Drosophila melanogaster: one gene and its partner. The protein of the gene in region 1 interacts with the protein of each later gene in a pairwise test. Each region holds a gene or a part of one and is shown in the gene's direction. Other genes may lie near its edges. The genes, in order: CG8306 and CG13299.

Region 1 (7,873 bases):
TGCAGGAGCTGATCGATCGGGTCAATGTGATCTACCACAGTGCAGCCACCATCAAGTTCAGCTCCCCGCTGCGCACCGCCATTCGCACCAATCTCACGGGAACGATGCGCACCATTGAGCTGGCCAAACAATTGAAGCAACTGGCGGCGTACATCTATTGCTCCACGGCCTTCTGCAATAGCAACAATCGTGGTCTGATTGCCGAGGAGGTGTACAAGTCACAGTTCGATCCGTACGAGATGATGAAGATGGCCGAAGATGACTCCGCCTGGGAGGATTTCACCGATCAAAAGTGCAAGGGCTATATCCGTGATCATCCCAATACGTATACGTTCACCAAGAATCTGTCGGAGAATTTGCTGATGGCCGAGATGTCGGGACTGCCAGCAGCCATAGTTAGGCCATCGATTGGTGAGATTCCATTCGGCAGTAAAATGTCTTAATCAATAACATTTCATTTTTAGTTTATGGAACCCTGGAGCACCCGATGAAGGGCTGGGTGGGCAATGCAAACTCTGGTCACCTGGGCTTCTTGGCCGGCTTCGTGAAGGGAATTTTTCGCACCATGTGCGGGAATGCAAATGCTGTGATCGACATCATACCATGCGACTATGTGATCAACTCATCACTGGTTATGGGCTGGTACGTGGGCACCCGGAAGTTGGAGCAGCCGGAGATCATACATTGCACGTCGGGAGAGGTTAATCCTCTGAATCTCGCCGAGTTCTGCACGATCATCAACGATAGTGTGGAGCGGCATCCGCCGAACAGTTTTGTTTGGAAACCGGTGACGAAATTGCGCAACGGATGGCGTTACAATCTGTTCTTCTATCTGTTTCATTTGCTGCCAGCTATGGTCTTTATCATACCAGAGAAGCTATTCGGAATCGGAATGCCCCAGCACACGTAAGTACTGCAAAAAGCTGGATCTACTTAACTTTTAACCATAATATTTATCTACTTTAGAGCCTACGAGTACATGCGGGTGTTCCAGAAAGGTACCAAGGCCTTTGATTACTTCCTGGACAAGGACTTCCGGTATTCCTTGAAGAATGCGCTGCGTATATCGGCATTAATACCGGAGAGCGATCGAAGGCGCTATAATTTCGATGCCAGTCAGTGCGATTGGTCGGAGTTCATCGATCGGTGTCTGATAGGAATCCGGCGTTTCTACTTCAAGGAGTCGGCAGTGACCACGGATTGGCATCGCAACTACTGGAAGGTGTAAGTGTGATCCATTCCACCGATCTAAAGCATAATTTCAATTTTCATTTCATTTCTGTCCTGTCTATAGCTTTAACGTCCTGTACTACGCGGGCTATGTGGTCATCTTCGCCGTTCTCTACTTTGCCCTTACTTTAACTTTGGGCCTGCAGATCGGACTTACGTTGGCGGTTCTGATCTGGGGATTTCTCGTCTGGTTGTAGTGGCTGCATCCGAATCGCCAACAGTTGGATTGTGCAATATTTCCGCTCCAAGTGCGATGCTACCACACATGGTTGTTCGTTTCCATCCGTAGTTTGTTCTAGTAGGGTATCATGTATTTTACTTTTAAGTTCTTTCACACAAGCCAAGTACAAGTCAGCGAAATGTATCATATGAATCAGCACTAATATCGAATCTATTCACACAGCAATGCAAAAGTAGCCCAAAACTTAGTCACTTTAACTAAACACGTAATGTAAAAGTAATAAACAATTTTAGATTGTTTGTAATTATCAACCGGTTTATAGTCAAATAGTCGATGAATACGAGAACTAAACTTTAAATGATTAAATATGTAACTATTATTCAAATAAATATGATTTTTATATTAAGGAAAGGATGTGTGTGTTTTTATTAGGTGTGTGTAATATTTTATTATATGGAGGTTGGTATAACTTATAATAATATTGTTTTATAATTTTTTAAGTCCATCTTAAAAATCGATGCATTTCGTTTTCGACAATGCACAGTGGCGACACCTAGCTACACTCTTTCTACACGGTGTACACTAAGTAAGTTCGGTAATATTCCGACAGGGGCGCTAGCTGAAGAGAATTCTCTTATGCTCGAGAAGAGAAAACATACATATGCAGCTAAAATAACAAAAAAAGTATCTGCAAGATAGCGAAAAATGTATCCGCAAACTCAGTGAGCTAACCATATTGTATGTGATGAGATCAGAAAGTAAACATATGTGGGGGACCAAACCAAATAGGCACTCCCCTTTGAGACGCCACTGACTAACTGGTTTGGCCGACGATCGTGATCGTTATTATGACGATCCGCGGAGCGTAGTTAATGATCATACACGAACAGTTCGCTTGCTGCCGAGCACATTTCGTTGGCCATTGACGGCATAAAGATTCAGTTGAAGTTTTACTGTTGCCGGCTAACGTTCGAAAATCGGAGGATCGGAGAAACGCAGATAAAGATAAACTCGCCCATTCAGCTGCCTCGCTCGCACTCGCACACGCCGACACACACACACACACACACGCACGTTCGTTGTGGCACACACACGTGCAGTTGCACTGGTGTTGGTAATTTGTTTACAGTCGCATCGCAACAACAACAAAAGCAGTGGAGTAAAAGATAGAAAGACGGAATAAATAAGAAGAGGAGGAGGCCGATAAAAAGAAAGAGAGCTACGTGGAAAAGAGAAATTTCGACGTTCTAAGCCGAGTTTTAGTCTTAAACAAATAATCAGAACGAGCGGATAGACTGCAATTGGCATTATTATTATTGACGTTAACCACACCTGCTGAGAAACCATGGCCAGGTAAGTCCCACTACATTTGGCTCTAAGCAACGGCTTCTGCTCAATTTTGGTTGTATTTAATTTTGGTAGCATGTTTGACAACTTTCAACCTGCTTTTTTTATTTTTTTTTTATTTCTTTTCCCCGCTTTCGAGCGCCTTTTGTGAGGTTAGAAAGACGGAGCAAAGTTCGAAATGCGACAAAAATCTGGCGTAGAGAACACAAGCCATCGAGCTAAAGATACCCGAATCATCTAGACTTTCCATGTGATGGGGAATCTTGATTCAAAACACTTACTTACCATAAATTAGGTATATGTGTGTGTTGTTAACTATTTTCACATATGTAGACTTTATCATTCATATAAGCCAGAAGTCCAGTGGATCAACATATCTATTCCAACTTTCCAAAACTTGAACTTTAAACTACTCTAAAACTAGATGACCAATAAAAGCGCATTCACTTTAAGTGGAATTAGTGATCTATAATCTTACATAGCCTTTGCTTTTGGAACTCAATTCAAAAGTTTAATGCATAACATAATAGTTCGTGCTATTGGGGTCACACTGTACTATAATTAACACTTGCGTCGGCGGCTAATTCTACTTCATTACGAGCTGACAGTGGGTCATTTGGTCGGACACTTTCGCCAGCGAGAATCCATCACCTGAGAGTCACCTGCAATGGGAGAACAATGGAAATTTTTCATTAACCCGCTAAAGGTGGCTATGCAGTGCTAGCCAATTGGAGAGGGAGATGCAAACAGGGCTAGACATTCCAGTTTTCAAGCTAAATCTTTGACCTGTTCGAATACACTCTTTTGCAAGTCAAAAGCCGCCTTTTCAGCCAAATGACGTCAATGATGCAGTGGTGGGCATGCCGGAAATCAACCGGAAAATTACAGATTATTGAAATCAAAAGGAACCGCGGGACAACAAGATCATTACATATTATGGCCATCGCATCCTGACGACAGGTTGTTCGAAACATTTTCGGGACGAATATTAATAATAATATGCCAGAGATTTATGGCCGCTCACAAGGTTGATTGCAGTTGGTAGGGTCAGTTACTTACTTACTCAAAGTCGAGTGGCTTAATTGCCGGGGTGGGCAAGCATTTAAGTTTATGTGCAATGCTAATGATATGGGGGTTCTTAACGCCAGTCTCAACGGAATGCGGTAAACTGTGGCAAATGATATCGCATTATGCAAGGCATTATTAAGGCACTAAGCTTGATTTTTCAAATAACACCACTTTATTGCTTATTTCCTCACTTGTAGCCAAGTTCCATTAAATACTGTGCACAATTCATACAGTAGTATCAGTTCCAAGGCAAAGCAAAACCATAATTTGAAACAAATTTCAAGTAGCACTGCCACCATAAATCGGCTCACTTAATTAAGCCAGATAAGCACCGAACTGGCCAACAGAAAAATCTAATCTCAGAAGTTGATTTAAAGCTGATAAGAAAGTTAATTTCAAAGAGTTGGCCAAGAAAGGGAGTGAATAAGAAACTTCAGGAAAAACGCTTGATGAGTTATTAGCCATTTGTGTTGATTGGGTCACCTGTCCCTTTTCACCCCAAATTCGCTGGTCCACAAAGTGAAAGCTTAACTTGGCTAACAAGCGAGCGTTTGAACTGTGAGCCTGGCTAAAACGATGACTTGCCATTTCGTGTGTGCAAATATGAGCACCTGCAAAGGCTTCAACTGCACTTTATTTACTTGTGACGGCTCTGCAATCTCGAGGGTTTCCTTTAATTGCTCAAAAGAAAATTTGCATTTCGTCTGATTTTTTGTTTTTTTTTGTTTTTGTTTGCATATTCAAATATGGGAAATGTAAATGCAACACATTTGTTATGCAGAAATTATATCACGCATCGTTAGAGGGGAGTAAAAACCAAAGAATTCATCTTCAATGTTCGTCATTATAAAATCATTTGGCATAAAGAAAAAATATAGCGGAGACAGCGAGTGGAGGTCATTAAAAGAGAAATGCGCCAGACATGGCTAATTGAATGAACATGTTGCGTGTTTGCTGGAGCCCCAATACGTTTTGTAATTTGATCGAAATTGTTCGAAAATTAGGCGATTGCAAAGTGGAAATGGGAATTCCCCAAAGCTAAAGAGCTTATCTTAACTGATTTGCAGCAAAAAACAAAGTACATTTACTGTTAAAAGCATGATATCTTTAAGAATTGACTTGGATGAATAATGAATCCAAAAGAGTGGGCTAAAATCCTATTTATTGATAGAAACTAAAGAAAATCTTTAGAGATCAAACCATTTGATTTATGCGTTTAAGCGCACGACTTGATTCCAATCAAAGTACAAAGAAACCAGAGACACCCACGAGATTGCTTTGCATTCCGGCATTGAACCGCCCGCCAGTCGACACCTGCTAAGTAATCATTAGTTGTATCAATATTAGAAGAAATACAATGGGCACTCAGAACTGGGAGCCCACGATAAAAACGGGTTTTTAGCGGGACAAACAGCCAAGATGCGCTACCCTGAAGGTTTTTACGGGTGAACGAGTGTCGTAAGCACAATGGCGTCTCCATTGGACCATTTGAATGGGCGACGAGAGAAAGTTTGGTTCATCTTTTTTATGACGTCTGTAAATTTGGTCGTATTCGTTATATAAACAGAATAGACGGCACTGAACTGATTGGTAAACCCTTCATATTTCAGCTCACCCATCACAGACTTCTATGCGGGTCGCAATGTCTTCATCACGGGCGCCACTGGCTTCGTGGGCGTCACCATTGTGGAGAAACTATTGCGCGATGTTCCCAACGTGGGCACACTGTACCTGCTGATGCGCGCCAAGAAGGGCAAGAGTGTGCAGGAGCGACTGGAGGAGCTGAAGAAGAACTCCGTTTTCGACAAGTTCAAGGAACTGCAGCTGCAGTCGCGTCTCTCCAAGATCGTGCCCATCGAAGGCGATGTCGGCTTGGAGCATCTGGGCATCTCGCCGAAGGATCGCCAGACCCTGATCGACAACGTGAATGTTGTCTTTCACTCGGCTGCCACTTTGGACTTCTTTCAATCTCTGAAGGAGACCACCAACATCAACTTGAGGGGCACTCGGCGAGTTGTGGAGCTGTGCCAGCAGATCAAGAACCTGGATGCTTTGGTCCATGTGTCCAGCGCCTATGTGAATGCCTATCTGACCAAGGTCGAGGAGAAGCTATATCCCGCGCCCGAAGATCCAGAGAAGATCATCCAGCTCTCGGAGACGCTCAACGATGATGCCCTCAAGGAACTGGAACCAAAGTGAGTGGCTCTTAACTAAACTAAAGGGTTTATGCTTAGAAATAATGAATTATCATCTCCCAGACTTCTGAAGGATCACCCCAATACCTATACCTTTACAAAGCATCTGGCGGAGCACGAGGTGGCCAATGTGGCCAGCAAGTTCCCCTGCGGCATTGTTCGTCCGAGTATGAGTGAGTATTAGGTAGAATATTAATTTTCTTCCAGAAACTAATGATTCTTTGTAATGTGCTAAAGTCACCGCCGCTTGGAAGGAACCCATTCCCGGATGGACCATTTCGAAGAACGGTCCGCAGGGCTTCTTCATGGGCGCATCGAAGGGCGTACTGCGTCGCCTTCCCCTGGATCCCAGCATCATTATGGACTACATACCCATCGATGTGGTGGTCAATGGCATCATAACCACTGGCTATTATGTCAACTCGCTGCAGGCGAAGAACGGAGGACGCCCGGCCGATCTGCAGATCTTCCACCTGACCTCCAGCACATACAAACCCTTCCGCTTTGAGCTGATGACGGACAAGATCAACAGCTATCTGCACGACTATCCTCTGAACAGTGCCGTCTGGTATCCCAACCTGCGTCTGGTGAAGAGCCTCTGGGTCTTCCGACTGAGCGCCATTCTGTTTCATTTCATACCCGCTATTATCCTGGATCTGGTCACGAAAATTGGAGGCGGCAGGCCTATGTAAGCATATAATATTGGTACACCTATTTCCTAGTAGCCTACATGATTTCATTTAACTTTTAGCTTGGTTCGTCTGCACAAGAACGTTTGGAACTCACTGAATACCCTGGAAAAGTTCATCTTCACCGAGTGGCACTTTGACAGCAAGCGTCTATTGGCGCTATCGAAGACCTTGAACATAGTGGACAAGAAGAAGTTCTTCATCGACATCGGGGAGCTGGCGTGGGATGAGTACTTTTCCAATACGATCCTCGGCGTGCGTCAGTATCTCAGCAAGGAGCCCATCAAGAATCTGGAGAAGGCGCGTCGCAAGGACAAAATGTAAATATCTTCAATAATACTATGTAAGTTACCATACTAACCCTTAACTTTTCTAGTCTCCTGGGTCTTCATGTGGCGCTGCAGCTCTCGTTTTGGTATGGAGTCTTCAAGTTGATCGTGTGCCTCACCGGAATCTCGACGGCTAAAGCAGCTCTTGTCCTGCCCGTCCTTTACTACCTTTTTGGACTGCTTTAAGAAGTCGATGAATATTCCCACATAGTTCAACATTTTCTCAATGTTATTTATGCTTAATGCACTTTGTATGAGGTTTGGTTTTACAATATAAATACAAAAACAAGCGCCGCTCTTTTTTGATTTAAAAGGAAAAGTTTATTAAAGGAAAGCCCTAAAGAGGATTCTATTGATAGTTAAAATCTGGTATAAAATTAGATCTACTTTTACTTTAAGCCACATTATAAAGATTCAGAGGTAATATCAGGCTTTTTGAGCGGTTTAAAAAGTGTAAAATTTTCAAGCTTTTAAGTTTTTAAACTTCCCACCGAGGTGCATAAGACCTGGTCACATCGAATTTAGTGTGACCTCACCAGTGGACGCCATCGAATACCCAAGTGCATCCCAAACCCCAATCAACAGTTTCCCAACAAAAACAACAACAGCAAACGACCAGCTGGTCCAGTGCATGCAAAACTTCATCAATTGGCCGAAGTGTGCAGGAAAAGCGAGGGCTTTTCTCCGCACTTGACCCATTTGCGGACACACAAACGCTTGCCGAGCTCAAAGAAATCATGTACTGAGAACCAACCGAGGATGCGGAGCCCAGAAACGGACAGTGAGCACTCGGAAACGGACTCCGTCGGCTCCTCCACGGACAGTCAGTCGAGT
Region 2 (3,316 bases), on another chromosome or scaffold:
AGCTGTTAGTTGGGACAAAAACCAATCTAATTTGGCCATAAGCAAAATAGTTGTTAAATAAATGAACATATAGATAAAGAATTATCTTAAACTTTTTCACTTTAGCAGGATGGCAAAACAAAAGTTTGAGGTGTGGGATCAATCTATATCACAAATTATTGTGACATGTATCGGTACCTTAATTCAATTTACGGTGCTTGTGTTTTATCTTATCTTTTAATATGGCAAAATTCGTTCATCGTTGTTTAAATTTGTGATAAGATAGGATAGTAAGCCTAACCGTTTATTTTTATTCACGCCGATCTTAATTAGTTGCCGCATTGCTATTTTTCATTTCATAGCGAAAGGTATTAGTTTTCCAGAATGAACGCAGTTGGCATTTTCATAATATGTCTGGGTGAGATTTTTTAAGTTATAGTAAGTAGTGACTTTGTAAAGATGTCCTTTCTAAAAACAGCATGTTCCCTTGGAGCGAATATTCCTCCAAAACCGTGCCAAGTGGAAACAAATTGTGGTACGGTGAATGAGACAAGTTCCATTTGCGGATTGGATGAGGAAATGGGTTGTATACGAAAATTTCCATCCAAGTGTCATTTGGATATAGCATTTTGCCATGAAGGAAAAAGTAAGTCCGATTATTAAACTTTAATCTCGCATATTATTAAATTATTTCATTTCAGATTTCACCGACTTTAATGAGGAATATTGCTCAATGGAATCGTATCTCTGTGAGATTTCACCCACATACGAACGCTGGACCATTTTCTTCGGGCATGAGAATTAATTCTAATTGAAAGTGCGAAAATTTGCTGCATTACGCTTATATAACAGAATTTATCTGTTTTCAAATTAAATTTTTTTCTCATTTCTAGAGTATTTTTACATAATATGAAATTAGTCCCGCATGATTGAAATGTTTTGGTTTAATTTCAACAACCAGAAAAGGGGAAAGAAAACAGCGTATAAATAAGAGAATTTGTGGGTATAAATATCAGTATACATTCTTCAAGACAGAGGAAGCCCTCTCTACGAACTCAGGACGCTCTTCTTTGGCCACCAGAAAGAGTGAGTGAAGACTTGGCTAATCGCCGACGACATACGTGTAAGTTCATTAGGTAGCATTTCAATAAACAATCAATCAACGCGCAACGGGCCATTCACGTGCCAGGCGACGTTGACTACGTCAAAGACCGGTAGGAGGTAACCGATGCCCAGCAGCGTTTTTTCCCACTCAGTGAGACAGAACGACGCCTCGAGCCTTTTATACGAATCTTAATTCGGATTTTTTGTGATCTTTTTTTATATTTGAGTTTTTTTTCTTTGCGTTATTTTTGGGTCTTCGACGGGTGCTTTGCATAATCTCTCGCCGCGGCGCCAATGCCCATTGGCCTCCTCCTTCAACGCCAATCAGTGAAGAGCTCCAGACTGGCACACTTGCACATATAAAAAGTGGACCCAACCGAATTTTGCTTGTCAGTTAATGCCCATCAATCGAATCAATCCCAGCACAGCCATGAGAAGCGCGTCGCTTAAGTTCTATCTGATATGTCTGCTAGTTATCTGCGGTTAGTGTTATTAACTAAAAATGTTATGCATCAAATGCAATTACCTGTGTCCGAATTTTTGCAGTGATCGGTTGGAGTGCTGGAGCACCGAGTCCGCAACTTTCACGTAAGGAACTCGAGGATCGATATCGACAAAAGCCCCCGGTGCCTGATGAGCGAGATGCGGATGCAGAATTGGATAGTGCCTACGATCGGAATACCCGAAGACCTTGAAGTGCAAATCTGAAAGGCTGGAGACACCCAACGCCCACAATTGATTTGTGGTTCTGTGTGGAGTGCCACTTTTTATGTCGTATTCAGGGTTATGGCTATGTAGTTCTAAGCTTAGGCAAAATGTACAAGCGTAAAATAAAGCAATTACTTGGGTGAAACGTGCGCATCGTTACTTTCCATTCTATCACGTAGAATGTGGGGCGACATCCGACGTCGGCTGGCGTCTATAAAATATGAACTCTCTGGCATTCGATTCAGTCAGTTATCAATCTCCGGCTAGTGCGAAAAGTACAATCAAAATGACCTCAGAAAGCAAGATGGTTTTGCTCTTCCTTATCGGATGTCTCGTCATGCAGACAAGTGAGTCACTGGATCATCTGGTATCATGACATTATTTTAAACCTAACTGCATTTTCTTTCAAGTCAACGCCCTGCCATTCGATAGATTCAGCCAGGAGGATGACGAACGGAACAACGAGATCAGCGGCGAATGGTTCAAGAAACCCATCCTCAGGTTCGATCGTCTTTTTGCCACCGAAGAATCACCGTCGGGAAGTCGGAAAGAAGTGAGAAGGCCCAGCAGAAGCGACAAGGGTGAAACCACGGAGAGCTCCAAGCACGCCCACTCCATGATCACCTCCATGCTCGGATTCGTGAGCAGTGTCATCAACTTTGGCAGGACCTTCATAAGGGATCAATAGAAAATATCCTAGTCCATCTGGCACATTTCGAGATTGCATTTTCCACATGTTGTAGGTTTAAATATTGTTGTTTAAATATTGCTTAAATATTGTTGTTCCAAAATAAAAGATTTGGCTTAAAACTATCAAGTATTGGATGTTAAAGAAAGCTTCTCTAAATCCTTTCCAATTTTCAACCAAAATTAAATTCAGCCTAGGTGTTACAATTAGAGGTTTAAAACAGAGTATTTTGAAGACCCATGGTTTAAATACTCACCCGCATATAAATTTCTCTTTAATCCATTCCGTTTTATAAAATTCATCTGTGTAAAGAAGCTAATTTTAATTCTTATTCATAAAATCAGAGCAAATTTACCAAGTAGCACTCAATAAGCTATAACACCGGCGGATTTTTCGGTTGCCCTTTAGGCTAACCATATAAAAACCCGACGGAGATTTTGGTGGATCCCACTATAAATTCTCTTTAATTCGCAGAAACAACCCAGAATTGCCTTTTTTAAAACTTAATCCTTTCCTTCTTTGCTTAATATTAAATTTACTCTTAACATAAATTACTTTTCCCAGCTGAAACTTTTGTTTTTCTTTAAATTTTTCCATGAAGCTTCTTATTTAATAAGATAAACACAAAATTACCATATTTTGTTGATAATTTAACTTAATAGTGGTGCACAATTAATCTTTTGATTACACTTAATATATTTATTTTACAGCCTTACACAGCTGGAAGATTTTCACAATTTTCGAATTTAAAGTATAATTCATTTAAAAAGTAAGCGTTCAAACAATTTTCACCGATATTCACGCGTTTACAACTCGTTTAAAAACTCTCTCTTATAC

The links.
Region 2: the proteins of CG8306 (region 1) and CG13299 interact in a two-hybrid assay, tested with the Drosophila melanogaster proteins (one large-scale study listed by BioGRID).

What each region holds. Positions count from the first base shown.
Region 1 is NT_033778.4:16,588,974-16,596,846, reverse strand, and holds CG8306 (uncharacterized protein), read left to right. Parts: upstream 1-2,200; 5' UTR 2,201-2,756; coding exon 2,757-2,764; intron 2,765-5,436; coding exon 5,437-6,021; intron 6,022-6,084; coding exon 6,085-6,194; intron 6,195-6,258; coding exon 6,259-6,709; intron 6,710-6,772; coding exon 6,773-7,030; intron 7,031-7,086; coding exon 7,087-7,225; 3' UTR 7,226-7,329; downstream 7,330-7,873. Other genes in the region: CG8303 (uncharacterized protein), read left to right, coding at 1-411, 465-906, 967-1,224, 1,295-1,427; Dolk (dolichol kinase), read left to right, coding at 7,799-7,873. UniProt on the Drosophila melanogaster protein: Catalyzes the reduction of C16 or C18 fatty acyl-CoA to fatty alcohols.
Region 2 is NT_037436.4:6,231,086-6,234,401, reverse strand, and holds CG13299 (uncharacterized protein), read left to right. Parts: upstream 1-2,040; 5' UTR 2,041-2,077; coding exon 2,078-2,138; intron 2,139-2,201; coding exon 2,202-2,479; 3' UTR 2,480-2,597; downstream 2,598-3,316. Other genes in the region: CG42714 (uncharacterized protein), read left to right, coding at 364-397, 458-625, 681-784; BG642312, read left to right, coding at 1,481-1,565, 1,630-1,778.